Canis lupus familiaris: one gene and its partners. The protein of the gene in region 6 purifies or fractionates together with the protein of the main gene of each other region. This does not show direct contact. Links are inferred from orthologs where the notes say so. Each region holds a gene or a part of one and is shown on either strand. Other genes may lie near its edges. The genes, in order: SRPK2, VIRMA, SRRT, PRPF4B, FUS, ZC3H18 and RBBP6.

Region 1 (3,500 bases), on a different chromosome or scaffold from region 6:
TTTTTATTTTGCTGAGTTATTATACTAACCCAAGAAGATTTGCATTGAATTTATTGCTTAGAAAAGAAGATGACATTGTATGGAAAAGTCAAGAACTGGTGTGTGCATATTATGTACACAAATTACTGTTACAGAGTGCTTGATGGCTTGTCTGAGTTAAATCAGAATGAACAGAAGGGCTTTTTAGGCAAAGGACATTTTTCTCTCGATGAAAGATACTTTCAAGAAAAATGTTGTATTATTAAACATATTTTGATCTGATTTTAGTACTTAGAGCTTTCTTAAATGGACTCAAGAACTGACTAAAGGGTGCACCTGGCGGGCTCAGTCAGTAGAGCATGTAATTCTTGATCTTGGGGTCTTGAGTTCAAGCTCCACATTGAGTATAGAGATTAATTGAAAAATAAATACAATCTTAAAAAAAAAAGAACTGACACAAAGGAAGAGATTTTATTACTATTTCTCTGAAATTAAAAAAAAAATTTTTTATAACAGGTGGCTACCATCCGGTGAAAATTGGAGACCTCTTCAATGGCCGCTACCATGTTATTAGGAAGCTAGGATGGGGACACTTCTCAACTGTCTGGCTGTGCTGGGATATGCAGTAAGTGTTCTTTGTCATTTGTGCATTTAGTTTCTGGACTAGTTCAACCTTTATAATACAATATGGCTGAGGAGCATGCCTACTTCTGTTGTGGCATGTATACTACTTGGCATAAGCCTGCCCCACTCACCTAGAGACCCACCCACCCCAGTCAGAAGTTCTCTTGTCTGTTATCTTAATATTATTAACTTTCTTCTGCTTTTATGTCTGAAGCTTATTCATTGAAATTGCATTGTATCACATATTCTTCTAATAATTCACCCATATCAGAGAAACATTCACATGTAAAATAATGATGTGTCGACCTTAAAAGTCAGTGGTTTCTAACTTTTTTTTTTTTTTTTTTTTACGGCTCCATAGTATGAAACTACAATGCTACCCCTTACACACATACATATATGGTGTGTATGTGTATGTACTAAAACAGAAGTGTTATAAAATAAGAATTACCTTTAATGTATGGATGAACTCTGATATTTTTCCAGTCTACCTTTTTTTTTTAATTAGGTAAAGACAACATGATGCAAAGAAGAGATTGTTTTGATCCATTAACCTATTGCTTAATTGCTGTTGCACAATTTGAAAAGTACTGTCTTGTTTTTTTTTTTTTTTTCAAGATTTTATTCATTTATTCATGAGAGACACAGAGAGACAGAGACACAGGCAGAGGGAGAAGGCTCCATGCAGGGAGCCCGATGTGGGACTCAATCCCGGGACTCCGGGATCACACCCTGGGCTGAAAGCAGGCGCTAAACTGCTGAGCCACCCAGGGATCCCCGAAAAAGTACTGTTTTAAAGGAAAGATTTTTAGAAGTTCTTATTTATTGGGATGCTTGGGTGGCTCAGTGGTTGAGCATCTGCCTTTGGCTCAGGTCCTGATCCTGGGGTCCTGGGATCAAGTCTTATATCAGGCTCCCCGCAGGGAACCTGCTTCTCCCTCTGCCTATGTCCCTGCCCCTCTCTCTGTGTGTCTGTCATGAATAAATAAAATCTTTAAAAAAAGGAAGTTTCTATTTATTGAATAGATGTTATTATAATGATTACTTCTGTTAATATTAAAAATATGCATTTTTTTTTAAAGGGGGAAAAGATTTGTTGCAATGAAAGTTGTAAAAAGTGCCCAGCATTATACAGAGACAGCCTTGGATGAAATAAAACTGCTCAAATGTGTAAGTATCCCCAAAATGTGAATAATGCAAGAAAAATTAATGACAAAATTTTACAGAGGAATTTTTAAGTTTGAATGATGAATCTTTTATCTTTAAAAACATCCATTTTACTAAAATGTTTTTAGTTGATTATAATGGAAATGACTTTCAGTCTTAAATATTTCTGTCCTTGAATTCATTTTTTTTCCTGTAGGTTCGAGAAAGTGATCCCACTGACCCGAATAAAGACATGGTAGTACAGTTAATTGATGACTTCAAGATTTCAGGCATGAATGGAATACGTATCCTTACTGATAATTCTTTTATTTCCTAGTGGCTTTTTACTTTTAAAATATGGAAATATTTCAAGCTTGTTTAAACTCCTGTTTGCTGTGCTGTATCAATGTCTATATAAAGCCTCTACTGTCATCATAGAATGCTATAACATGGTATGCCGAAAATTCCCCAATTCCTGCCAGTCCATTTCAGTGTCTTGGGTAATCTCTCTGGGGTTGTACAGCATCTTAAACATTCTTCTTGTCCAGGCACCGTGCTCTTTACAGACAATCCCTCTACCTTCAATATCAAGCTGGGGAAGAACCATACATATGTGTAAGTAGAGAGCAGAGAAAGATTAGTCACAGTCATCATTACAGATGAAAAGGAGCAAAAGATCGGTTGTGTCAAGAGTCAGGGTCTTCTCCTTGCCAATCTTTTGCTCCTTCCATCATAACATGTTTGGAACAGATCCATCATTTTGGTATTTGACCTCCTCCAGCTCCAGAAGCCCGAGGACAAAGCCTTCTCCCAGCTTACAGCCCAGACTGGTACCCTGTTTCTGTATCTCCTAAGCTTTAATCCCTGAGCAGGCACTTCCTTCATACCCTGTATGTCTGAAGGAGGTTCTGTATTTCCTTCAGAGATTGGATTAGAGGGTACTAGTAAGTACCAGTGCCTGCTGATGTCACTTTGTCTTTTCCTCAAGATTATTTCTGGTTGTTGCTCAGTGCATTTTCCCCTCGTTTTTTTTTTTTTTTTTTTTTTTTTTTTTAAAGATTGATTTTTGAGGGAGAGATTTGAAGAGGAGGAGGGGCAGAGAGAAAAGGAGAGAAAGAATCTCAAGCAGACTCCCCACTGAGCATGGAGCCCGATGCAGGGCTCAATCTCATGACCCTGAGATCACATACTGAGCCAAAATCAAGAGTCAGACGCTCATCCAAGTCATTCAGGTTCTGGTGTTCTTTCCACCACCCTATAGACAGAGCTGGTCCTTTGCCCTGTCTCCAGGTGAGCTTGTTTGTTTATGGGCAGGCAGGGCAGCTCCTCTTCTTAGTTTTGTAAGGCAGTTTGCTGGGATAGCTGAGAGAATTTCTTTGGAGAAACTACCTGATTTATAGGTAAATGGAGTGTTTTGGGTATATATACATTCCAGTGGCTGTTATTACTATTTTATAAAGCGCCAGGGAAACCATTATAGTCCAGGTTGTCAGTGCTTTGAGAAGATTTAGGTCATAATTTAGAAATCTTGGCCTTTGGCTCTGCGTCTTTTACCAACTGTAATCATTTTGCCATTTTTTATAATGATTTGGGAAATAGTAAGAAACTTCTGGCTTTATATTATCTGTGCATAAATCTATAATGTTCTCCTACAGTGTAGAAATGCTTTTTAAATTTTTCACTAAAAATATTTAAAGCAAAAAATAAAATAAAATAAAAATATTTAAAGCAACTGTGATAATTTGATTGGT
Region 2 (3,500 bases), on a different chromosome or scaffold from region 6:
TTTTCTACACTCAGTGTGGAACTAGACCTCATTACCCCAAGATCATGAGTTGCATGCTTTACCAACTGAGCCAGCCAGACACTTCAGTTTAATGTTTCAGATTGTTTCAAGATTTTATCTGTTAATAAGTTCCATTTCAAACATTGTACACCTGTGTCATACCTATTTCAAAAATGCCACCCTCCATATGGGAGTTAGGGAGACCACTGCACAGTAGAGCTTTAAACACAAATCTTATTTCTTTTTTTTTTTTTTTTTTTAAAAAGATTTTTTTTTTAATTTTTATTTATTTATGATAGTCACAGAGAGAGAAAGAGAGAGAGGCAGAGACACAGGCAGAGGGAGAAGCAGGCTCCATGCACCAGGAGCCCGACGTGGGATTCGATCCCGGGTCTCCAGGATCGCGCCCTGGGCCAAAGGCAGGCGCCAAACCGCTGCGCCACCCAGGGATCCCTCTTATTTCTTTTTAAAGCTACTGTTGTAGAATTTAACAAAAATACATGAAACTTGTTTTATTGATCATTAACGGTGGCTGCTTTTACTTCATGATTTTTTTGTTTCTGTGATTTATTGAACATTCTTTGTTTAAACTTCTTAGAAACAGTGCATTTGTAGAAATTATTCTTCACTAGTGGATTGATGACATGTTTTCGTACTGCTGACTTGGCAGTGAGAGAATAGCAGTTTACATTAATAACAAACACATAGCTGTGTTAGGACTATTATATATATAATACTCTCAAATCAGCCCTTTGAAGTAAGTTCTGTTAGTACCCCCACTTTACAGCAGAGAAAACTACCAGTCAGCTCACCAGGATATATAAGTGGCAGAACCAGTATTTGAACCCTGGCAGTCTGGCTCCAGAGCTTCTGCTTCTAACCACATACAGTACTGCCACAATGTAGTATATGGCAAATATGTCATTTACAGAATTTCATAGTTTCTCTTGTTACTTTGAAGATTAAGAAAAACACGTTGAACCTTAAAAAAAAAAAGGTTATTTATTTATTTATTTGAGAGCGAGTAAGTGAGCATGAGTGAGGGGAAGGTCTGAGGAAGAGGGAGAGGGAGCCTGACGTGGGGCTGGACCCCAAGGTCATGACCTGAGCCAAAGGTAAATGCTTAACTGACTGGCACCCCAGTATCAAATCTTTTTTAATCCAACTAAAGTAGTAGACCTTAATTGTGTTATCTGTGTTCAGGGAACTACAGTCGTCGGGAGGGAACGAGAGGTTCCAGTTGGAGTGCACAGAATACTCCTCGAGGAACTTACAATGAAAGTCGCGGAGGCCAGAGCAACTTTAACAGGGGCCCTCTTCCACCATTACGACCACTTAGTTCTACAGGTATATATCCTTCCTTTTTATTTTATTTATTTATTTATTTATTTCTACAGGTATATATCCTTCCATTTTATTTTATTTTATTTTATTTTATTTTATTTTATTTTATTTTATTTTATTTTATTTTATTTTATTTTATTTTATTTATTTATTTATTTATTTATTTATTTATTTATTTATTTATTTTGGGGGGGGTATATATCCTTCAGAGTTAATACTGCTGAGAGAGGGATGTCATAAACTCTCATTCTGGGAGAGAACATTTTGGAATGTAGGCTTATAATTCTATAGGCAATTTAATTTTATATCTGCAAATGAATGCCCAATGTATATTTCCTGTAGAAATAATCAAAATTCTGGATTCTGAACTATGTGTATAATCTTGGCAGTTTCACAGGGACATGCTCTGTTTTTTTTTGTTTTGTTTTGTTTTTGTTTTTTTAAAAACAGGCTCTTTAAGATTTTATTTATTTATTCATGAGCGAGAGAGAGAGAGAGAGAGAGAGAGAGAGAGAGAGAGAGGCAGAGGGAGGAGCAGAAGCAGGTTCCATGCAGGGAGCCCAACGTGGGACTCCAGGATCCTGGGTCTCCAGGATCAGGCCCTGGGCTGAGGGTGGTGCTAAACTGCTGAGCCACCCGGGCTGCTCTGTTTTTGTTTTTAAAAATTTTATTTATTTACTCATGAGAAACAGAGAGAGAGAGAGAGAGAGGCAGAGACACAGGCAGAGGGAGAAGCAGGCTCCATGCAAGGAGCCGGATGTGGGACTTGATCCTAGATCTCCAGGATCACACCCTGGGCTGAAGGCGGTGCTAAACCGCTGAGCCACCTGGGCTGCCCCCTGCTCTGTTTTTTGTGTTTTTAAAAGACTATTTATTTGAGAGAGAGAGAGTGGGAGTTGGAGGTGAAACCAAGAGTTGGACACTTAACTGACTGAGCCACCCAGGCATCCTTTGCTCTTTTTTTATATTTCTTCTTCTTTTTCTTTCTTTCTTTTTTTTTTTTTTTTTTTAAAGATTTTATTTATTTACTTGAGAGAGAGAGTGTGTATGTACTCCCAAAAGGAGGGGAGGGACAGAGGGAGAGGGAGAAGCTCCTTGCTTAGCAGGGAGCCTGATGCAAGGCTCAATCCCAGGACCATGGGATAATCATCACCTGAGCCGAAGACAGATGCTTTACTGAGCCACCCAGGCACCTCTCCTTTTATATTTCAATGATGAAAGCCAATCCTTAAGGTTTTTTTTGCTCAAAGTATTTTAATAACAGAGATATCTTCATGCAGTATATTCTGTTTCTGTTTACAATATTGTCTTGTGTGTTTAGGCACGCAACCTGTTTTTCTTAAAACACTATTATGTCAAGTCTGGAATTCTGATCACAAGTAGCTTTTGGTTTCAAATACACTTTCATTTTTATTTTTTTATTTTTTATTTTTTTTAATTTTTATTTATTTATGATAGTCACACACAGAGAGAGAGAGAGGCAGAGACGTAGGCAGAGGGAGAAGCAGGCTCCATGCACCGGGAGCCCGAAGTGGGATTCGATCCCGGGTCTCCAGGATCGCGCCCTGGGCCAAAGGCAGGCGCTAAACTGCTGCACCACCCAGGGATCCCCACTTTCATTTTTATAACAGCTTTATTTGAGATATAATTCTCGCATATCATATAACTTAACCTATTTAAAGTGGACAATTCAGTAGTCTTTACCCCATTCACAGATTTTTAAAGGAGCAAAGAGTAATTCCTGTCTTAGTTTGAAATCAGCTTTATAGATTACTGTTTCTATAGTGGGAAAGGAAAGGATATTATGACTAAAAACTATTTTTTCTTTTATAGGCTACCGACCAAGTCCTCGTGACCGCGCTTCCAGAGGTCGTGGGGGTCTTGGACCTTCCTGGGCAAGTGCAAATAGTGGCAGTGGAGGCTCAAGAGGAAAGTTTGTTAGTGGAGGCAGTGGTAGAGGTCGTCATGTACGATCCTTCACACGATAAAAATTCTTTTGGGAACATCCTGAGTGTATATGAACATTTCCTGAGGACGATAAAAATAAAATGAGACATTAAAGGACCAACTTAGACTTAGCAGTTATCTGGAGACATCTGAGAGAATATTTTTATCTGAAGAAAGCAGATTTTGTTTGATACCTAACACAAGATTTC
Region 3 (3,500 bases), on a different chromosome or scaffold from region 6:
TTCAATTTCTGGGACTTTGTCACACTTTCCCTTTCTGTTTTTCTCATACTCTTCATTTTTTTTGTTTTTACCCCCTCAAGGTCCTATTTTAAATGTTTCCTTTCCATGCTCCACCCTAATCCTGCACCTCTTTTCTCTCTCTCTCTCTCTCTCTCCCTCTCTCTCTCTTTCTCTCTCTCTCTCCCTGTGGGCAGTACCTGAGGTTATAAGGGCACTTCAGTTTCTCCCTTTGATCTTTCCCTGTCCCTTCACCATCTGCTTTTCTTCCCAAGGGGGGAGAAAACTTCTGCCTTTTTTGGCTTTTCCTATCAGTGCATTTCAGGTTTCCCTCTGTCTTCCACCTAGGGATGGAGGGAGTTGGTGGGAGCAGTCCTGTTAATGACTAGCTCTTGGGTTGGCAAGGAGAGGGAGGTTCTCTGGGATCTACTATTTCCTTAGCCTTCCTCTTGGAAGCTTTGGGAAACTACAGTTTTTTAAGTTAGTGTTTCCCAGAGACACAGGGCAATCATTCTGCCTCTCTAACCCTGGCCTTCCCCTTTAGTCATGGCTTTTCCCAAATCCAGAGCTCTTAGTTCCTGGCTCTCCCACAAATCTTCTCAGAGCATAACCTCTGGTTCCTTTTGGGGGTATTGGGTGGTTCTAGTGTACCCTTCTCCCCAGTCTTTCTGCTTTCATGGTTTTTTGTGGGTGTGAGAGGATGGGGGCTAAGCCCTGACTTGCCTGGGCCCCTCCCCATGTCCTGGCCCTGGCATCCAGTGACTATTTTGTCTCTTCCCTCCCCACTTCCTTCCCAGGTTTCGGTCTAAGTACCACCCAGATGAGGTGGGGAAGCGTCGGCAGGAGGCCCGGGGGGCCCTGCAAAACCGACTGAGGGTATTCCTGTCCCTTATGGAGAGTGGCTGGTTTGATAATCTTCTCCTGGACATAGACAAAGCTGATGCCATCGTCAAGATGCTGGATGCAGGTATGTGGATTTGGGAGGGGAAGAGGGTGTCTGGTGACCCAAGATCTTGGTTTGGAAATAGAAGTCAGTTGATAAGCAAGAGGCTGAAGGCCAGGACCCTAGGATTGTGACCTCTGCTCCCTTTGTTGGTAGCTGTGATTAAGATGGAAGGAGGGACAGAGAATGATCTGCGCATCCTGGAGCAGGAGGAGGAGGAGGAGCAGGCAGGAAAGCCTGGAGAGCCCAGTAAGAAAGAGGAAGGCCGGGCTGGACCAGGCCTGGGGGATGGAGAGCGCAAGGCCAATGATAAGGATGACAAGAAAGAAGACGGCAAACAGGTCAGAGTGCTGGGCTCATTGGGTGCTGCCTCTGAGTTCCTAGGGAGGAGGAAGGTGCAACTTCAGTGGTCAGGGGGCCTGGTGGGTTGTGTGCTGGGTCCAGGAGAGGTGGAGGGCTAGGGAGGGGGCCCTCTGATAAAGGTTGAAGGGGAGATGGACATCCCCGGGATTGTCTGTACCTGCAGGCTGAAAATGACAGTTCTAATGATGACAAAACTAAGAAATCTGAGGGTGATGGGGACAAGGAAGAGAAGAAAGATGACTCTGAGAAAGATGCCAAAAAGGTAGGGTATCTCTTGCCAGGCGGTCATTGTCAGATCTGGGGTCCTGGTTATCTGACTCCCCTCCTCTTGCTGTGGCTCTCACAGACTAGCAAGAAGCGGAACAGGAAGCACAGTGGTGATGACAGCTTTGATGAAGGCAGCGTGTCAGAGTCCGAGTCAGAGTCAGAGAGTGGCCAAGCTGAGGAAGAGAAGGAGGAGTCTGGTAGGTTTTATCTTCTTTTAGTTCATTCTCTTCCTATTGAATAGGGGTAGGGGAGGTGGGAGTGGGCAAAATTGATAAGGGCCGGCCTTTGGGACATGGGGGTGGGGGGGGAGTTGCACCACTTCTTTCTTTCCCTCCAAAATCAACAATAAATATTCACCAACTTCCAACACTTCCTGCATAGAAGAGGCACTAAAAGAAAAGGAGAAGCCCAAAGAAGAAGACAGAGAGAAGCCTAAGGACACTCCTGGGTTGGAATGTAAACCTCGGCCCCTCCATAAGACTTGCTCCCTCTTTATGCGCAACATCGCACCCAACATCTCTCGAGCCGAGATCATTTCTGTGAGTGGGAAAAAGTGGTACTGGCTGCAGGAATGGCATATTTGGTAGCAGGGAAGGGGAGCTGGTGAGGCGGGGGTAAGATAATATGGTTCTGCTTCTAACATATACCCATTTCTCTAACAGGGAAGCCTCTTCTCGTGGGCCCTTTGTGGGCTGGCCCTCGATTATACCATTTGCTTCTAAGTGCTTTTACTCTTTAAAAATTTATTCATGAGAGACAGGCAGAAGATAGAGGGAGAAGCAGGCTTCCTGCAGGGAGCCAGATGTGGGACTTGATCCCAGAACCCCGGGATCACACCCTGAGCTGAAGGCAGATGCCCAACTGCAGAGTCACACAGGCGTCCCTTAAGTGCTTTTATGATTATTATTTTTTTAAAGATTTTATTTATTCATGAGAAAGAGAGAGAGGCAGAGACACAGGCAGAGCGAGAAGCAGGCTCCCCACAAGGAGGCAAATATGGGACTCAGTCCCGGATCCTGGGATCACACGCTGAGCCAAAGGCAGGTGCTCAACTGCTGAGCCACCCAGGCATCCCAAGTGCTTTTATTATTAAGCCCTTTATTGGTTTTTCCTTACTTGAAAGATTCACAGGCATTTCTCAGGGTTCTTAGGACACAGGGATTGGAAGAAGTGAGAAACGCTGAATTACTCATTGGGGTTTCTGTTCCTCTGTTTTTCCAGCTTTGTAAAAGATACCCAGGCTTCATGCGTGTGGCACTGTCAGAGCCCCAGCCTGAGAGGAGGTGAGGAATGGAGATGAGAGTGACCCTGTATACCTTGGAAATAGGTACAGGGGGAGGCTAATGGCCAGTATCCCAGGGTTATGCTGACCGTTTCTTCTGTAGGTTTTTCCGCCGTGGCTGGGTCACCTTTGACCGCAGTGTTAACATCAAAGAGATCTGTTGGAACTTGCAGAATATCCGAGTAAGTGCTGGGACTGGGTTCTCTGTAATGTACGTCACCCGATTCTTATTTGATTCATTTGTTGTGCTCCCACCCATCTGTTCAGTCTGCTCACATTAACTGTGTACTGGTGTCTGGCCTAGGTGCTGTCCCTGATAAGACCCTCCTGGTCCATGTTCTTGGGGAGCTCATGTTCTAGTCACTGGTCTTGTCACTAGGGCTAGTCCCTTGAGCTGCTGCTTCTCGGGCACATTTGGTGAGCTCTGTGTTCTCTCTAGCTCCGGGAGTGTGAGCTGAGCCCTGGTGTGAACAGAGACCTGACCCGTCGAGTCCGCAACATCAATGGCATCACCCAGCACAAGCAGATAGTGCGCAACGACATCAAACTGGCCGCCAAGCTGATCCACACGCTGGATGACAGGACCCAGCTCTGGGCCTCTGAGCCTGGGACACCTCCTCTGCCAACAGTCAGTGACTCCCATGGAAC
Region 4 (3,500 bases), on a different chromosome or scaffold from region 6:
CGTAATAGATTTTGTTTGACTTTACAATGTGTTACACATCTAATATGACCTGGGATTAGAGAAGCTAAGTAATTACAGTGAAATAAGTGAATTATAGACCTGTCTAGTCAACTTCAAAGTTAATGTTTATCTCCATTTGTTTCTTTTAAATTGTGAAATACACCATCTGTACCGAAGACTGTATAAAATATGTAAAATTTAAAGGTAATTATGCAGTGAACATCTGTGTAACCACCATAGAAGTTAAGACATTTGCCAGTATCTTAGGAGCTCTTGTTTTTAAAACTTCATTTTCTTTGAGTTAATGCTACTCTGGTAGTTTACACATGGACTTCAGACATTACAGGTTTCTCTCCTTCCTGAGAACGAGGAGGTAGACATCAGAAACCAGAGGGAGTTTATGAATGAAAATCCAAACCCTTTAGCCCAGCATTTCAGCCATCAGTGTGGTAGGAGTTCCATGTTTCTCATGGAGGTTGTGTAGCCAAACTGGAGAGTGCAGATAAGTGTGGGTATCCTGTGATTATTTAAGGCGTCTTAGCCAGCCCAGGAGTTCAACTGATAATTTCTCATTTAAAAATTGTCCGTGAAAAATAATCATTTCCGTTACTAGCTTAATTCTGTGGATATCCTCTTTAATGGGCCAATCTGTAACACTGACCAAGTGTTCTGGTGTCCCAATAGAAAGTGCCTAGTTTATTTAAAGTGTTATGTTTCTTTGGGGTGGGAACTGTAGGCCAAGTTCAAGTCCCAACTCGGAATTTGTGTGTGTCTCTTTTGAAGGGGGGAAGGGACTCTGGAATATGAATTATCTTCACTTGTTAGACCTGAACATGCTTCTGACTCATGAGTGGCAGCAGCCATGGGAGCAACTCCAGCCTTTCTCAGCAGATGTCACTGTTACTGTGTATGTTGAAGTATTTACAAAGGAAAAAAGAAACAAATAACTAATATAGAGTTCGTGTTTATCAGTTGTGCCAAATATATTTAACATTTTCTTAACTAATACCTTCTTTATATTTAAGGGATTTGATACTTTTTAGACTTGAAGTGATTGCTAAATATGGGATGGTCTAGCCGCTTCGGATGAAGAATGTTCTTATTCTGTTTTTGTCCAGATTTAATCTGAATCATCCTCTGCTTTCATTGCTGTCATAATTTTCTGGCAACTGAAAGTTAACTACAGTCACTTGAAAGTTAACCTAAATCTGATCCTTATTAATGAATTGTCTTCATGTTCCTTTAAATAGTAACTCGACTTGATTCAGGTATTCTGGGGATTTTTAGAAGATGCTTTGCTTCAATGAGATTTTTCTCTTACTATACCCCTCCCTTTTCTAAGTAGCATTGGTTAAAATTAAATGTCCTTGGTATTAGCCCGTATTTCTTCACTGAAAAAAGTTTTTTTTTTACTCATAGTAATCAAATATTTAATAGCTTTTAATTTTTTTATAATTAGGAAATTGACTTATTACATAATTAGAAAAGGAATTTTAAAATGGGTAACTTTGTTTTCAGTATTGGAAGTAACTTCTCAAAGCCAGTTATTTTTATCTGATTACTTGTCATAATTATTTTGGACATGAATTAAACTTCCATGATAAACTGTTTTGCAGGTTAATGAATCAAAAACTATTTTAAAGCTCTGCGATTTTGGGTCGGCTTCACATGTTGCGGATAATGACATAACACCTTATCTTGTCAGTAGATTTTATCGTGCTCCTGAAATCAGTAAGTTTCTTCAAATGTTCTTTGACCTGGGCCATCATATGCAGTGGAAACAGCATATTTAATGTCTAAGTACTGTTTTCCATCGCACTTCAGCAGCTGCACGAGGTCATTGATGAGGAAGGGAACCGTAGCAAGTTCATCCTCCTCAGGTGGAATGGTGGTAGTTGTGACAGGAGTCTTGATCATGTCTGGCAAGAGTAGCAAAACAGTTGTGGAAAATCTTCGGCTTTAGAAGACTGCTCTTGATTACTCAAGGTCTGATTATCAAATTTATGGATTGTATGGGACCTTTTTTTGCTCTTCCTGTGCCTTGGTTGAGGCTGGTTAGCACCTCCACCAAAGGTGAAATAAAAGAAATACACACTTCCTCTGCCCCCTGCCCCCCTTTCAATTCCTTCTGCATTCCCTCATTTTTTAAGATTTTAAGTTAAGAATTAGTGGGGGAAAAAAAAACATGAAGCTAATGCCAAAGTGAGGTATTAAGATTGCAGTTATGTAAGCCAAGCTAAATTAATCCCCTATTAATGAAAGTAAATAGTGGATTGTTACTATCATCATGTATTAAAACTTCTGTTTTGTTTTCAGTTATAGGTAAAAGCTATGACTATGGTATAGATATGTGGTCTGTAGGTTGTACCTTATATGAGCTCTACACTGGAAAAATTTTATTTCCTGGCAAAACCAATAACCATATGTTGAAGCTCGCCATGGACCTCAAAGGAAAGATGCCAAATAAGGTAGGGCATTAATGTGAGTTTTTATTATTATTTTTTTAACGTCTTAGCAATAGTTTACTGTAGACCAATGCATTACTGCACTCATCACTCACTAGTGGCTATAAAACCATTTCAGAAAGGCAGCTATATGGCTACTGTGATTCCTTAGCTCTTTTTCATTTCTGCTACTAAAGGTAGTGGTTCTAGTCAGCGAAGAGCTATCAGAAGTGAATAAGAGAGCTCCATTTTCCTGTTCCCCTCTAACATCTCTCTTTGCTTTTCTTTACTCTTTTAAGCAGAAGAGTAGGGGCCTACAGAATAGAATTGGAATTGAGGAAGAGAGATTGATGAGCATACATTTGTTAAGCAACCATACATGTATATATGACTGTTTCATATCTTTGTTCTTCCCTTGTTCCATTTATTATCCTTTAATGATGGGCAGAGAAGCAGCCTTGGGAGCACACCGTTATTGGTAACAGCACCAAACATGCTTGAGAGGTGGAATGAAAAAAGATGCAGGTCAGGTTAGTTCAGATGTGAAGAAGGGCTCAGTTGCCAGAGAATGACGGGTGAATATTGGAAAAGGAACTTGATGGCAATCAGCTTATTAAAGATTGGAAGTTATTTGGGAAAGGAAGGTACCAAGAAAAACTCACTTGAAATTGACGTCCTTCTAACATAAAACTTGCCCTTAATGCTTCAGCTGCAATAATTAGTTTCAGAAATGAAGCAGAAATTTTAGGCACTTATTAACTTGTCTGAGGGCTATATGTTAGATTTCCGATGACTTCAGCTTAATTTGCTGAATTTCTGGGAGTTTACAGATTTTTCCCAAAGTAGGTCAGAAGCCATTATGTTTTTTAGGTACTGTCCAAATTCAATCATGTTGCACTTGTTTAGAATAATTTACACAGAAATTAGTTAACGTTGGTATTTGTTTTAATGAGGTCTGACCTGTATCATTTCAGGGCTGTTGGAACTTAATTTTTAAAATGTCACTGGGTTTCTTAAACTGCCAAGAGAAAAGGCCCCTAATGTGTTATATTTTTC
Region 5 (4,241 bases), on a different chromosome or scaffold from region 6:
AGACACAAAGAGAGAGAAGCAGAGATGTAGGCAGAGGGAGAAGCAGGCTCCATGCAGGGAACCCAATGTGAGACTTGATCTCAGAGTCACGCCCTGAGCCAAAGGCAGACGCTCAACCGCTGAACCACCCAGGCATCCCATCCCAAGAGATTCCTATTCCTATTCATTAAGTATTTTAACCCTCTCAGAAGGGTGTAGTACAAATAGGGAAACCCACATTATGTACATATTAGGATCTCAAGGTACATTCTACCGTTTGTGTATCACCATGATACATAGTAATCTGACTTCAAACATCTTTAAGCAAATCATTTCCTCCCTGTATGAAAAACCTAAAACTGGGCAGCCCAGGTGGCTTGGTGGTTTAGCGCTGCCTTCAGCCCAGGGTGTGATCCTGGAGACCCGGGATTGAGTCCCGCGTTGGGTTCCCTGCGCAGAGCCTGCTTCTCCCTCTGCCTGTGTCTCTGCCTCTCTCTCTCTCCTCTGTGTTTCTCAATTAATAAATAAATAAATAAAATCTTTAAAAAAAAAAAAAAAAAACCTAAAACTTTCTCCATTTAGGGAATACTCTCCTCTCCACATTTCATTGTCATGCTGAAGGGAAATGGGAAGGAGAATATAAACAGAAAAATTCAAAGTCAGAAATAAAAGGAACCAGAATTACAAACCAATTAAATATTTGTTTGAAAAGATTCAAACTCCAAAAAAAGTTCAAGGGTTACAGACTACGAATAAAGAAATACAGTTTCAACATTTCAGCAATGTTTAAGAAAAGCAACATTCAAAGAGCAGGAAGAGGCGGGGTAACCCACTAAAAGAGACTCACTGTTCTGGGTCTGTCCATAAGAAGAACCATAGCTGCTCTGGCCGTAGCCTGAAGTGTCTGCTGACTGACCGTAACCACTGTAACTCTGCTGTCCATAGGGCTGATTGCTCTGCTGGGAATAGCCCTGCCCAGGCTGGGTGGGGTAGGCCCCATAGCTGGAAAAAAAGAAAAAAACCAGTGGAATCAAGAAAAGATACCTTAGCCACCCTTGCCACCCTACGAACTGGAAGTCCTGAAACAACACTCACCTTTGGGTTGCTTGTTGGGTATAGTCTGCAAAAGAAAATACAATTACATTACCTTCAGCCATCCTTGAGAGTATAACAGAATTAAATTTCTTAACTCAAGCCCTGGGGCCTTCAGATAGTATCAACAATGTTGCAAGAAAAGGCAGAAATTCCCTCATGACAGGAAGGACAAGATGGCAGGTCATAATCAAGTTTTCTCCCAATGGATACCAAGAAGTCTCACCAAAAACAAAACAAAAAAAAAAGAATCTTGGTGGTAAACTACAATGTTCTGTGAATTCAACTGATGTCAGGAACTGCACAAACCTACATAACATTTTATTTTCTTACCTACTCTAGGGGAAAGGTATCATCAACAGTCGAGTTAAAGTCACAAACTGGGGACAGATTTTGATGCAAGCCAAAGGCAGCAGTGAGGGGGATGCGGCCTCCACTCTCTCAACCAAGCCCAAAGAACAGATAGGTCTCAAATGAGGCCATTCTTCACCCTTTGCCTAATCTTGGAGAATGACAACGTGGGCTTTTTTAGTACAAAGCCACGTAACCAAGAGAACTCTCCGACCCCAAATAACAGAGATCATCACAGAGTTCGCTTTCGGAGGTCAATCAACTGGGACTCAAGTGCCAAGCCCCGTGCCTCCAAACGATTCCGTCTGCTCATCTGCATTGCCTTCCTCGAGGGCTGTTGGGAGTCTCGGCAAACCAAATGTCGCGAAAGCGCTTTTAAATCGCCCCCAATGAAGGCGCACCAACCCAGATCAACTCATCACCTCCTCAGTACAGGAAACGAGGCGCTTCCCCCGCAGGAAAAGGGCAAAAGATCGGGAGAGGGTGTGGCCTCGGGCGGCCGTTCCTCTCGACTCCCACCACGGAAAGCGGAAATTTAGGCGGGAAAACCCTCGGGCCCGGTCCCAAGTCCGTTAGACGACCCCCTAGGGGCCTCCCCCAAACCGTTAAGCTGGCGCACGGCCCCGATCCCGAGCCTCCGCCCCCGGCCGCGTGGCAACCGAGGCGGGAAGCAGGCGGTCCCGCCCCTTCCCGAGGGACCCCCGGGGCTAGGCCCACACCGGACGCGCGCTACGGAGCCTGCAGCGGAGAGTATCGCGACAAAAAGCAGGGCTAACACGAGGCGGGAGGGGGGTTCGCGCCGCGAGAAAGGGGGGAGGGGCCAGCAGGGCGCGTGCGCGCACCGAGTGCCCGGATGCAGCACTGCGACAAAGCGGGGCCCGAGCTCGCGGCTGGGAAGGGGGGGGGGGAGGGAAGGCTTCGGGACCGAGCGTTTCCATGCGTGCCTCACGTTTCAAATTACCAAGAAACGTCCGTGTCAAATCTCACCTCAAGTAAAGGCACTGAGACGGCAAGATCCCCTACCACGCGCAAGGCGCCGGAGAAGCGAAACAAAATGGCGACACAGGCCTCCCCCCCCCCCCTCCACCCCTCCCGTTGCTTCCCGCCACAGCGGTGCGAGAAAACCCTACACGCGATCCGCCACCCGGGTCCCATCAGAAAAGAAAAAAAAAAAAAAAAGCCCAGCTGGGAGGGACCGAAGCCCCAGGCCGGCACGCCGCCGCCGCCTCGCGCCCTTACATACCGTTGGAGGCCATGTCCGCGCACGCGCGCACAGGCCGGCAAGCAACAAGGTTCCAACACCGCAGAGCACCGACGCCTCGAGGACTGAGCGGCCCCGCCTCCTGCGTCGAGACTTATGTACGTCTCCCCCGCCTACGTACCGCGGAGGAATGCACGAAGTGCGGAGAGGGAAGGGGGGAGCGTGGCTGGACTCTGCAACCCCTCAGGGAGTACCGAGGATCCTCATAGACAGAGGGGAAGCATAGCGATTAAGAAACTTGGCAGGCAACATACATAACCCTATTTTTCCTAGCAAAGTACTCTGACTCTCCCTGCAGGACTGGCCCAAGCCTCACCTTCACCCCCTAGAAGGGCATCATGGTACGGTCCATTGACCCCTCCCACCTGGGGGTGGAGCGAGGGGCCCAGGGCGTCTGCGGACGCAAGTGTAGTCGAAGCCGGGAGTCGCGGGGCGGGAACCGAAATTCTCCCGGCTGGCCCCTTTCACTGGGCCCCACTTTCACTAGGACGGCGAGCCCCTGCGCCCCGGTGCCCTTCCACTGCACCAGATGCTTGGTCCCTGCGGCGCCAACCTCCCTCTCCGGCTCAAACGTTCCTCCCCCCCCCCCGACAACACACGCCCCGCGTCGCAGGTTCCCCCTGCCATCATCTTTCTGGTTTGCGTCTCCCTTGGTCCTTGCCAGCAATTGTGGATCGTGACGTCCGACCTGAAAGGAGCTTAACCCGGACCCCAGCCCTGATCGCCCACCAGACCTCTTCTGGATTTTGCCCTTGACTTAGCGGTGGGACGGGAAAGCCCAGGCCCTCCTGGACGTCAGAGCCGTTGAGATTAGATTAGGGTCTCCCTTACTTCTTTTACTGATGCAGAACTTTTTTTTTTTTTCCTAAAGCCCTACCAAGGAACCAACGTGGAGGGTCAGTGATAACTGATATTTATAGAGAGTGTAAGTGGTTTCAAAATGTACAATCAGGGGCGCCTGACTGGTGCAGTCAGTGGAGCGTGTGTGACTTGATCTCAGAGTTATGAGTTCCAGCCCCACGTTGGGTGTAGAGGTGACTTAAAAATAAAATCTTCAGGGGCGCCTGCATGGCTCAGTTGATTAAGCATCGGACTCGATTTCCGCTCAGGTGGTGATCTCAGGGTGGTGAGATTGAGCCCTCTCTTGGCTCTTCGCTCAGTTGGGGATGGCTTGAGGTTTCCTCTCCCTCTGCCCCTCTTCCCTGCTCCCACCTCTGCTCCTGCTCCTGCGGTGTGCCCGCTCTCTCTCTCAAATAAATAATCTTTTAAAAAGCAACGCTAATTGATTGTGTTCCCATCACCATCTTGTGAAGAAAAGGTATCTCCCATTTTATAGGCAAGAAAGCATCCAACGAAGGCCAAGCACAATCCAGATTATAGGGTGGCTAAGGGTTCGACCGGATTCCAGTCCAGGTCTGTGTGGCTGCAAAATACTGCTTTTTTTTTTTTTTTTTAAGATTTAATTTATTCATGAGAGACACACAGAGAGAGAGAGAGAGAGGCAGAGACACAGAGAAGCGGGCTCCATGCAGGGAGCCTGATGCGGGCTAGATCCAGG
Region 6 (3,500 bases):
GACCTGGGGACAAGGCAGGTCAGGGTTTCTGCTCTAGACCCTTGAGGATGGCTCCAGAAAGATAGCAGGGTGCCTTCAATTCTGTTGCTTCATTCTATAATGCAACTTTTCTTGGATTTTAAGAGTAATTTAAGAATCCAAAAAGCTGTCCCTTGCAATGCGTATCTTATTGCTCACTTTCTGTTTACCTACCAGGTTGTGCTTATGACAAGTACTCCAGGTCTCTGCCAGATTGATGCATGTGTGAGGCACTTAACACACAGCTTAGGGAGTACAGTGCAGCCTTGTGGAGGTCTTGTGGGTGGGTCCAGCCTGCCGGCCTCCCTGGTGAAACAGTCAGTGGCAGGAGACGGTGGAGTTGGGTCTGGGGTTTGGAGGAGCTGTGCAGGTCCTGGACCCGCCTGCAGGTCAGGAAGGAGCATGAGTCCAAAAATACCAGACCAGGATTTGTTTTCTGTTTTGCTAACTGCTGTGCATCTGTGTTGTCTTCATTTTGCAGAACTGTGGGTACCGATGGATGTGGCCGAGAGCCCTGAACGGGACCCTCGCTCTCCAGAGGACGAAGAAGAGGAGCAGCAGGGGCTCTCGGATGATGACATTCTGAGGGAGAGTGGGTCTGACCAGGATTTGGACGGAGCTGGGGAGAGGGCTTCTGATTTGGAGGATGAAGACAATGCAGCCCCAGGACTGAGCCAGGAGGAGGAGGAGAGTCACTCTGACGAGGAGGACCAGGACCAGGAGTCCGAGGCTCAGGATCTGAGCAGGGAGCCCACGAGCCCTCCACACGTTGAAGAGGGGGACGGTGGGGAAGAGGAGCACACAAGCGACCTGAGAGACGAGGCCTCATCGGTCACCAGGGACCTGGATGAGCATGAGTTAGACTACGATGAGGAGGTCCCCGAGGAGCCGGCCCCCGCTGGGCAGGAGGATGAGGCCGAGAAGGCTGGTGCTGAGGATGATGAGGAGAAGGGAGAAGGAGCTCCTGGGGAAGAGGGGGCTACAGGCGCTCACAGTGTGGAAGACAAGGAGCCCCTGGAGACCGCCAAGGAGAAAAACAAGGAGGATGATGACGGGGAGCTTGATGATGGGGAGCTCGACGTGAGTGCCTGGGCTGGTGGGGCAAAGGGTAGGGCACATGAGGGCTGGGAAGTCAGGACTATTCTGGGAGTGCCAAAAACCAAGGGAATAGGCTAGATTCAGACAACTGGGGTCTGCCACCTGGTGGCTGACAGAAGTTCCATGGACCCTCTGTCTACTGCTGCTGGTGGAGTATATTAAAATGCCTAATCCCGATTTTGTTTTCTTGAGCTCTAGGTTTGTGCAACCTAGAGAGATCATTTCTCCCTTTCTTTTTGCTATCTTTAAATAATACTTGAGATTATATTCAACTAAAACTATTGTAGATTTTCAGTTCCTGTCGGGTTTGTGAGACTCATGAACTCCAGAAGCTTGCTTTGAGTCTTGATTGTTCTTCCAGGCTTTTTTATCTTTGTACCTGAACCCATTCTTTGGCGAGGGTCCCAGCTGGACCAAGCATCTTTGGAGGTGTCCCTGAAAAGAGCTTTTGGAATGCATCATAGGGGTTGTGCCTCCAAACATCTCAGCCTTTGATTAAGCCATCATAATTTGTTATGATTTATTTAAGTAATCTGACTTTCAGGTTACAGAGAAGGTAACAGTAACATATTTTTTTGGACATGGATTGGTTGGGTTTTATAATGCAAATATTTAAGTTTTTTTTTATTTTAGTTCCAGCATAGTATTAGTTTCAGGTGTATAGTATAGTGATTAGCACTTCCATACATCACCACTTGCTCCTTGAGACACGTACACCCCTTCATCTTCATCCCCATCACCTGTTTCCCCCATCTCCCCACCCACCTCCCCTCTGGTGACTATCAGGGTGGTCTCTATAGTTCCGAGTGTGTTTCCAGGTTTGCCTCTCTCTTTTTACCGACTTTATTTCTTAAATTCTACATATGAGTGAGATCATATGGTATTTATCTTTTAATGACTGATATATTTCACCTAGCATTATACTCTCTAGCTTCATCCATGTTATTGCAAATGGCAAGATTTTACAGATGAGTAATTACTCATCTTTTTTTTTTTTTTTACAGATGAGTAATATTGCATTGTGTTTCTATACCATATCTTTGTTATCTGTTTATCTGTTGATGGACACTTGGGCTGTTTCCAAATTTTGACTACTGTAAATAATGCAGTATACATAGGGGTGCATGTATTCCTTTGAATTAGTATTTTTGTATTTTTTGGGTTAATGCCCAGTAGTGCAATTGGTGGACTGTAGGGTAGCTCTATTTTTAACTTTTTGAGGAACCTCTGTACTATTTTCCACAGTGACGGACCGCACCAGTTTGCATTCCCACCACCATTGTAAGGGGGTTTCCCTTTCTCCACATCTTGACAACACCTGCTGTTTCTTGCATTGTTGATTTTAGCCATTCTGACAGGTGTGAGGTGGTTTCTCATTCTGGTTTTGATTTGTATTTCCCTGATGATGAGTGATGTTGAGCATCTTTTCATTTGTCTGTTGGCCATTTGTTTGTCTTCTTTGTTTTTTGTTTTTTTGGGTTTTTTTTAAGATTTTATTTACTTATTTATGACAGACACAGAGAGAGAGAGAGAGGCAGAGACACAGGCAGAAGGAGAACCAGACTTCATGCAGGGAGCCTGACGTGGGACTCGATCCCGGGTCTCCAGGATCACACCCCGGGCCGAAGGCAGCACTAAATCACTGGGCCACCGGGTCTGCCCTGTTTGTCTTCTTTGGAGAAATGTCTGTTCATGTCTTCCGCTCATTTTTTAATTGAATTATTTGTTTTTTTGGTGTTGAATTTTACAAGTTCTTTACGTATTTTAGATACTAACCCTTTACTGGATATGTCATTTGCAAATATTGTTTCCCATTCTTTGGGCTGCCTTCAAGTTTTTTTGACTGTTTCTTTTGCTGTGCAAAAGCTTTTCATTTTGATGAAGTCCCAATAGTTCATTTTTGCTTCTGTTTCCCTTGCGTCTGGAGACGTATCTAGAAAAATATTGCCATAGCTGCTGGCTTTAAAGATGGAAGAATGAGTCAAAAACCAAGGAATGCGGGCAGCCTCCAGAAGCTGCAAAAGGCAAGGAAATGAATTTGTATATGGTACAAGAAAGTGGTCCAGTTTCATTCTGCATGTGGCTGTCTGGTTTTCTCAACACATTTGTTGAGACTTTTCCTCATTGCATATTCTTACCTCTTTGGTAATCATGATCTTTTTTTAAAAAGATTTATTTATGTATTTGAGAGAGAGAACACGTGTGCATGCATGGTAGGGGAGAGAGAGAGAAACAGTCCTAAGCAGACTCCTTACTGAGCTCAGAGCCTGACACGGGGCTCGATCTCACGACCCTAAGATCGTGACTCGAGCTGAAACCAAGAGTTGGACGTTAAACTGACTATGCCACCCAGGCACTTAAAAAGTTGAGTTTTGAGGGATGAA
Region 7 (3,500 bases), on a different chromosome or scaffold from region 6:
CTTACATTTGAAATGTGGTTCCTTTCAAAGCTAGACTATTGGCCGACGTAGGACAAAGAAATTACTCCTACTTAAATAACCAGATAGGAAGTTAAATTTAATTGGCATTTTGTTTAGTGTTAACTTAATTAGCTCATATAACTCACGGTACATTAATGCGCTTCACTCTAATTGTCAAGATTTCACTTTTGTTTTGTAACAAGTGATTGCTCTGATCTTTGTGTACTTTATTCCATTCCAGTAGAGGTCACTGTGCCTCTTTAATCATCTAAGATGAAATTTGATATAAAAGATGGAACCGTGAGGAGAGCATGCTAGAGTCTGAATCTGTATTTTATTTTGTATGTATTTCTCAACTATCAATTATTGTTTTGTTTTTGTTTTTAGGTCTAAATCTCCTTATAGTGGTTCATCATATTCAAGAAGTTCCTATACTTATTCTAAGTCAAGATCTGGTTCAACACGTTCACGTTCTTATTCTCGATCATTTAGCCGCTCACACTCTCGTTCCTATTCACGATCGCCTCCATACCCCAGAAGAGGCAGAGGCAAGAGCAGAAATTACCGTTCACGGTCTAGATCTCATGGATATCATCGATCTAGGTCAAGGTCACCCCCATATAGACGGTATCATTCACGGTCAAGATCTCCTCAAGCATTTAGGGGACAGTCTCCCAATAAACGTAATGTGCCTCAAGGGGAAACAGAACGTGAATATTTTAATAGATACAGAGAAGTTCCGCCACCTTATGACATGAAAGCTTATTATGGGAGGAGTGTTGATTTTAGAGACCCATTTGAAAAAGAGCGTTACCGAGAATGGGAGAGAAAATATAGAGAGTGGTATGAAAAGTATTATAAAATAGGTTATGCTACTGGAGCACAGCCTAGACCATCAGCAAATAGAGAGAACTTTTCTCCAGAGAGGTTTTTGCCTCTTAATATCAGGAATTCTCCCTTCACAAGAGGCCGCAGAGAAGATTATGCTGGTGGACAAAGTCATAGAAGTCGAAACTTAGGTGGCAACTATCCAGAAAAGCTTTCAACAAGAGACAGTCACAATCAGAAGGACAACACAAAGTCGAAAGAGAAAGAGAGTGAAAATGCTCCTGGAGATGGTAAAGGAAACAAACATAAGAAACATAGGAAAAGAAGAAAGGGGGAGGAAAGCGAAGGTTTTCTAAACCCTGAGTTGTTAGAAACTTCTAGGAAATCGAGAGAACCTACAAGTGGTGAAGAAAATAAAACTGACTCATTGTTTGTTCTCCCAAGTCGAGATGATGCTACACCTGTTAGAGATGAACCAATGGATGCAGAATCTATCACTTTTAAATCAGTGTCTGAAAAAGACAAGAGGGAGAAAGACAAACCAAAAGCAAAAGGTGACAAGACCAAACGGAAAAATGATGGGTCTACAGTGTCCAAAAAAGAAAACATTGCAAAACCTGCTAAGGGACCTCAAGAAAAACTAGATGGAGAGCGTGAAAAATCTCCTCGATCTGAACCTCCACTTAAAAAAGCCAAAGAGGAGACTCCAAAGACTGACAATGCTAAGTCATCATCTTCCTCCCAAAAAGATGAAAAGATCATTGGTACCCCCAGGAAAGCTCACTCTAAGTCAGCAAAGGAACACCAGGAGACAAAACCAGTCAAAGAGGAAAAAGTGAAGAAGGATTATTCCAAAGATGTCAAATCAGAAAAATTAACAAATAAGGAAGAAAAGGCCAAGAAGCCTAGTGAGAAAAGTAAGCCACCTGACAGCAAGGGAGAAAAAAGAAAAAGAAAAACCGAAGAAAAAAGCGTAGATAAAGATTTTGAGTCCTCTTCAATGAAAATCTCTAAACTAGAAGTAACTGAAATAGTGAAACCATCACCAAAGCGCAAAATGGAACCAGATATTGAAAAGATGGATAGGACCCCTGAGAAGGACAAGATTTCATCATCCTCAACTGCCCCAGCCAAAAAAATCAAGCTCAACAGAGAAACTGGTAAAAAAATTGGAAGTACAGAAAATGTATCTAATACAAAAGAACCCTCTGAAAAATTAGAGTCGACATCTAGCAAAGTTAAACAAGAAAAAGTAAAAGGAAAGGTCAGACGAAAAGTAGCTGGAGCTGAGGGATCCAGCTCAACGCTTGTGGATTACACCAGGTATCTGATTATGGGTAGTTGGATGTAGATGTTTGTTTTGGGGGAGAATATCCTTTAATTTTATCCATGCTTGTACTTTTAAAGGGTCTGTTAATTAAAAAGGGGTTAGACTGGTTTACTGGTTAGACTGGTCTTTAATGAAAGGAGTTGAAGATTGTAAATCAGTTTGTGGGTGAGCCACATTTGTTTTTATGCAGTCCTACATTTGAATCATTTAATCTCTATTAGAGTAGCGCCAATGGCTTTGAGAGTTAAAAGGACGTTTATGTTTAAGTTAGCCTTATTATACTTCAATGTTCAGTAAAAGTAAATTCTTCATTAAATTCTTCATTATTTAACAATATTTTAATTGTTTTTAGTACGAGCTCAACGGGAGGCAGTCCTGTGCGGAAATCTGAAGAAAAAACAGATACAAAACGAACTGTCATTAAAACTATGGAAGAATATAATAACGACAATACAGCTCCTGCTGAAGATGTTATTATTATGATTCAGGTTCCTCAGTCCAAATGGGATAAAGATGACTTTGAATCTGAAGAAGAAGATGTTAAGACCACACAGCCTATATCAAATGTAGGAAAACCTGCCAGTGTTATTAAAAATGTTAGCACTAAACCATTAAATACAGTCAAGTATACTGAAAAAGAAAGTGAGTCATCAGAGAAAATTCAGAAACTCACCAAGGAAGTGAGCCATGAACTTATACAGCATGAGATCAAAAGTTCAAAAAATTCTGCCTCCAGTGAAAAGGGAAAGACCAAAGATCGAGATCATTCAGTTTCAGAGAAGGAAAACCCTGAAAAGAGGAAGAACAGCGCTCAGCCAGAGAAAGATAGTAACTTGGACCGTCTAAGTGAACAAGGGAATTTTAAAAGTCTGTCTCAATCTTCCAAAGAGACAAGAACGTCAGATAAGCATGATTCAGTTCGAGGTTCCTCAACTAAAGACTTTACCCCCAACAGAGACAAAAAAACTGACTACGACAACAGAGAGTACTCAAGTTCCAAACGTAGAGATGAAAGGAATGAATTAACAAGAAGGAAAGACTCTCCTCCTCGAAGTAAAGATTCTGCATCTGGACAGAAAACTAAGCCAAGAGAGGAGAGAGATTTGCCCAAAAAAGGAACAGGAGATTCCAAAAAGAGCAGTTCCAGTCCCTCAAGAGACAAAAAACCTCATGATCACAAAGCTACTTATGATACTAAACGCCCAAGTGAAGAAATAAAACCTGTAGATAAAAATCCTTGTAAAGATCGTGAGAAGCACATGTTAGAAGCAAGGAACAATAAAGAATCAAGTGGCAATAAATTACTATATGTGCTTAACCCACCAGACCCACAGATTGAAAA

What was found.
Region 1: the proteins of ZC3H18 (region 6) and SRPK2 purify together in Homo sapiens (affinity purification with mass spectrometry; 3 studies listed by BioGRID and IntAct, with this or other methods). This does not show direct contact. The link is inferred for Canis lupus familiaris from reciprocal best matches to the Homo sapiens genes ZC3H18 and SRPK2.
Region 2: the proteins of ZC3H18 (region 6) and VIRMA purify together in Homo sapiens (affinity purification with mass spectrometry; 3 studies listed by BioGRID and IntAct, counting the BioPlex papers as one, with this or other methods). This does not show direct contact. The link is inferred for Canis lupus familiaris from reciprocal best matches to the Homo sapiens genes ZC3H18 and VIRMA.
Region 3: the proteins of ZC3H18 (region 6) and SRRT purify together in Homo sapiens (co-immunoprecipitation; 4 studies listed by BioGRID and IntAct, counting the BioPlex papers as one, with this or other methods). This does not show direct contact. The link is inferred for Canis lupus familiaris from reciprocal best matches to the Homo sapiens genes ZC3H18 and SRRT.
Region 4: the proteins of ZC3H18 (region 6) and PRPF4B purify together in Homo sapiens (co-immunoprecipitation; 4 studies listed by BioGRID and IntAct, counting the BioPlex papers as one, with this or other methods). This does not show direct contact. The link is inferred for Canis lupus familiaris from reciprocal best matches to the Homo sapiens genes ZC3H18 and PRP4K.
Region 5: the proteins of ZC3H18 (region 6) and FUS purify together in Homo sapiens (affinity purification with mass spectrometry; 3 studies listed by BioGRID and IntAct, with this or other methods). This does not show direct contact. The link is inferred for Canis lupus familiaris from reciprocal best matches to the Homo sapiens genes ZC3H18 and FUS.
Region 7: the proteins of ZC3H18 (region 6) and RBBP6 purify together in Homo sapiens (affinity purification with mass spectrometry; 3 studies listed by BioGRID and IntAct, counting the BioPlex papers as one, with this or other methods). This does not show direct contact. The link is inferred for Canis lupus familiaris from reciprocal best matches to the Homo sapiens genes ZC3H18 and RBBP6.

What each region holds. Positions count from the first base shown.
Region 1 is NC_049239.1:15,480,313-15,483,812, forward strand, and holds part of SRPK2 (SRSF protein kinase 2), read left to right. Parts: intron 1-495; coding exon 496-604; intron 605-1,685; coding exon 1,686-1,773; intron 1,774-1,966; coding exon 1,967-2,054; intron 2,055-3,500. UniProt on the Homo sapiens protein: Serine/arginine-rich protein-specific kinase which specifically phosphorylates its substrates at serine residues located in regions rich in arginine/serine dipeptides, known as RS domains and is involved in the phosphorylation of SR splicing factors and the regulation of splicing.
Region 2 is NC_049250.1:39,865,439-39,868,938, reverse strand, and holds part of VIRMA (protein virilizer homolog), read left to right. Parts: intron 1-1,203; coding exon 1,204-1,347; intron 1,348-3,177; coding exon 3,178-3,332; 3' UTR 3,333-3,500. UniProt on the Homo sapiens protein: Associated component of the WMM complex, a complex that mediates N6-methyladenosine (m6A) methylation of RNAs, a modification that plays a role in the efficiency of mRNA splicing and RNA processing.
Region 3 is NC_049227.1:8,831,701-8,835,200, reverse strand, and holds part of SRRT (serrate RNA effector molecule homolog), read left to right. Parts: intron 1-794; coding exon 795-964; intron 965-1,096; coding exon 1,097-1,281; intron 1,282-1,466; coding exon 1,467-1,565; intron 1,566-1,649; coding exon 1,650-1,767; intron 1,768-1,951; coding exon 1,952-2,109; intron 2,110-2,791; coding exon 2,792-2,853; intron 2,854-2,955; coding exon 2,956-3,034; intron 3,035-3,291; coding exon 3,292-3,480; intron 3,481-3,500. UniProt on the Homo sapiens protein: Acts as a mediator between the cap-binding complex (CBC) and the primary microRNAs (miRNAs) processing machinery during cell proliferation.
Region 4 is NC_049256.1:5,595,361-5,598,860, forward strand, and holds part of PRPF4B (serine/threonine-protein kinase PRP4 homolog), read left to right. Parts: intron 1-1,616; coding exon 1,617-1,731; intron 1,732-1,824; exon of another isoform or gene 1,825-1,986; intron 1,987-2,316; coding exon 2,317-2,468; intron 2,469-2,892; coding exon of another isoform or gene 2,893-2,979; exon of another isoform or gene 2,980-3,500. UniProt on the Homo sapiens protein: Serine/threonine kinase involved in spliceosomal assembly as well as mitosis and signaling regulation. Connects chromatin mediated regulation of transcription and pre-mRNA splicing.
Region 5 is NC_049227.1:17,230,614-17,234,854, forward strand, and holds the start of FUS (RNA-binding protein FUS), read right to left. Parts: upstream 2,801-4,241; 5' UTR 2,679-2,800; coding exon 2,666-2,678; intron 1,100-2,665; coding exon 1,075-1,099; intron 982-1,074; coding exon 827-981; intron 1-826. UniProt on the Homo sapiens protein: DNA/RNA-binding protein that plays a role in various cellular processes such as transcription regulation, RNA splicing, RNA transport, DNA repair and damage response. Binds to ssRNA containing the consensus sequence 5'-AGGUAA-3'.
Region 6 is NC_049226.1:65,246,645-65,250,144, reverse strand, and holds part of ZC3H18 (zinc finger CCCH domain-containing protein 18), read left to right. Parts: intron 1-499; coding exon 500-1,098; intron 1,099-3,500.
Region 7 is NC_049227.1:21,720,899-21,724,398, reverse strand, and holds part of RBBP6 (E3 ubiquitin-protein ligase RBBP6), read left to right. Parts: intron 1-387; coding exon 388-2,151; intron 2,152-2,510; coding exon 2,511-3,500. UniProt on the Homo sapiens protein: E3 ubiquitin-protein ligase which promotes ubiquitination of YBX1, leading to its degradation by the proteasome.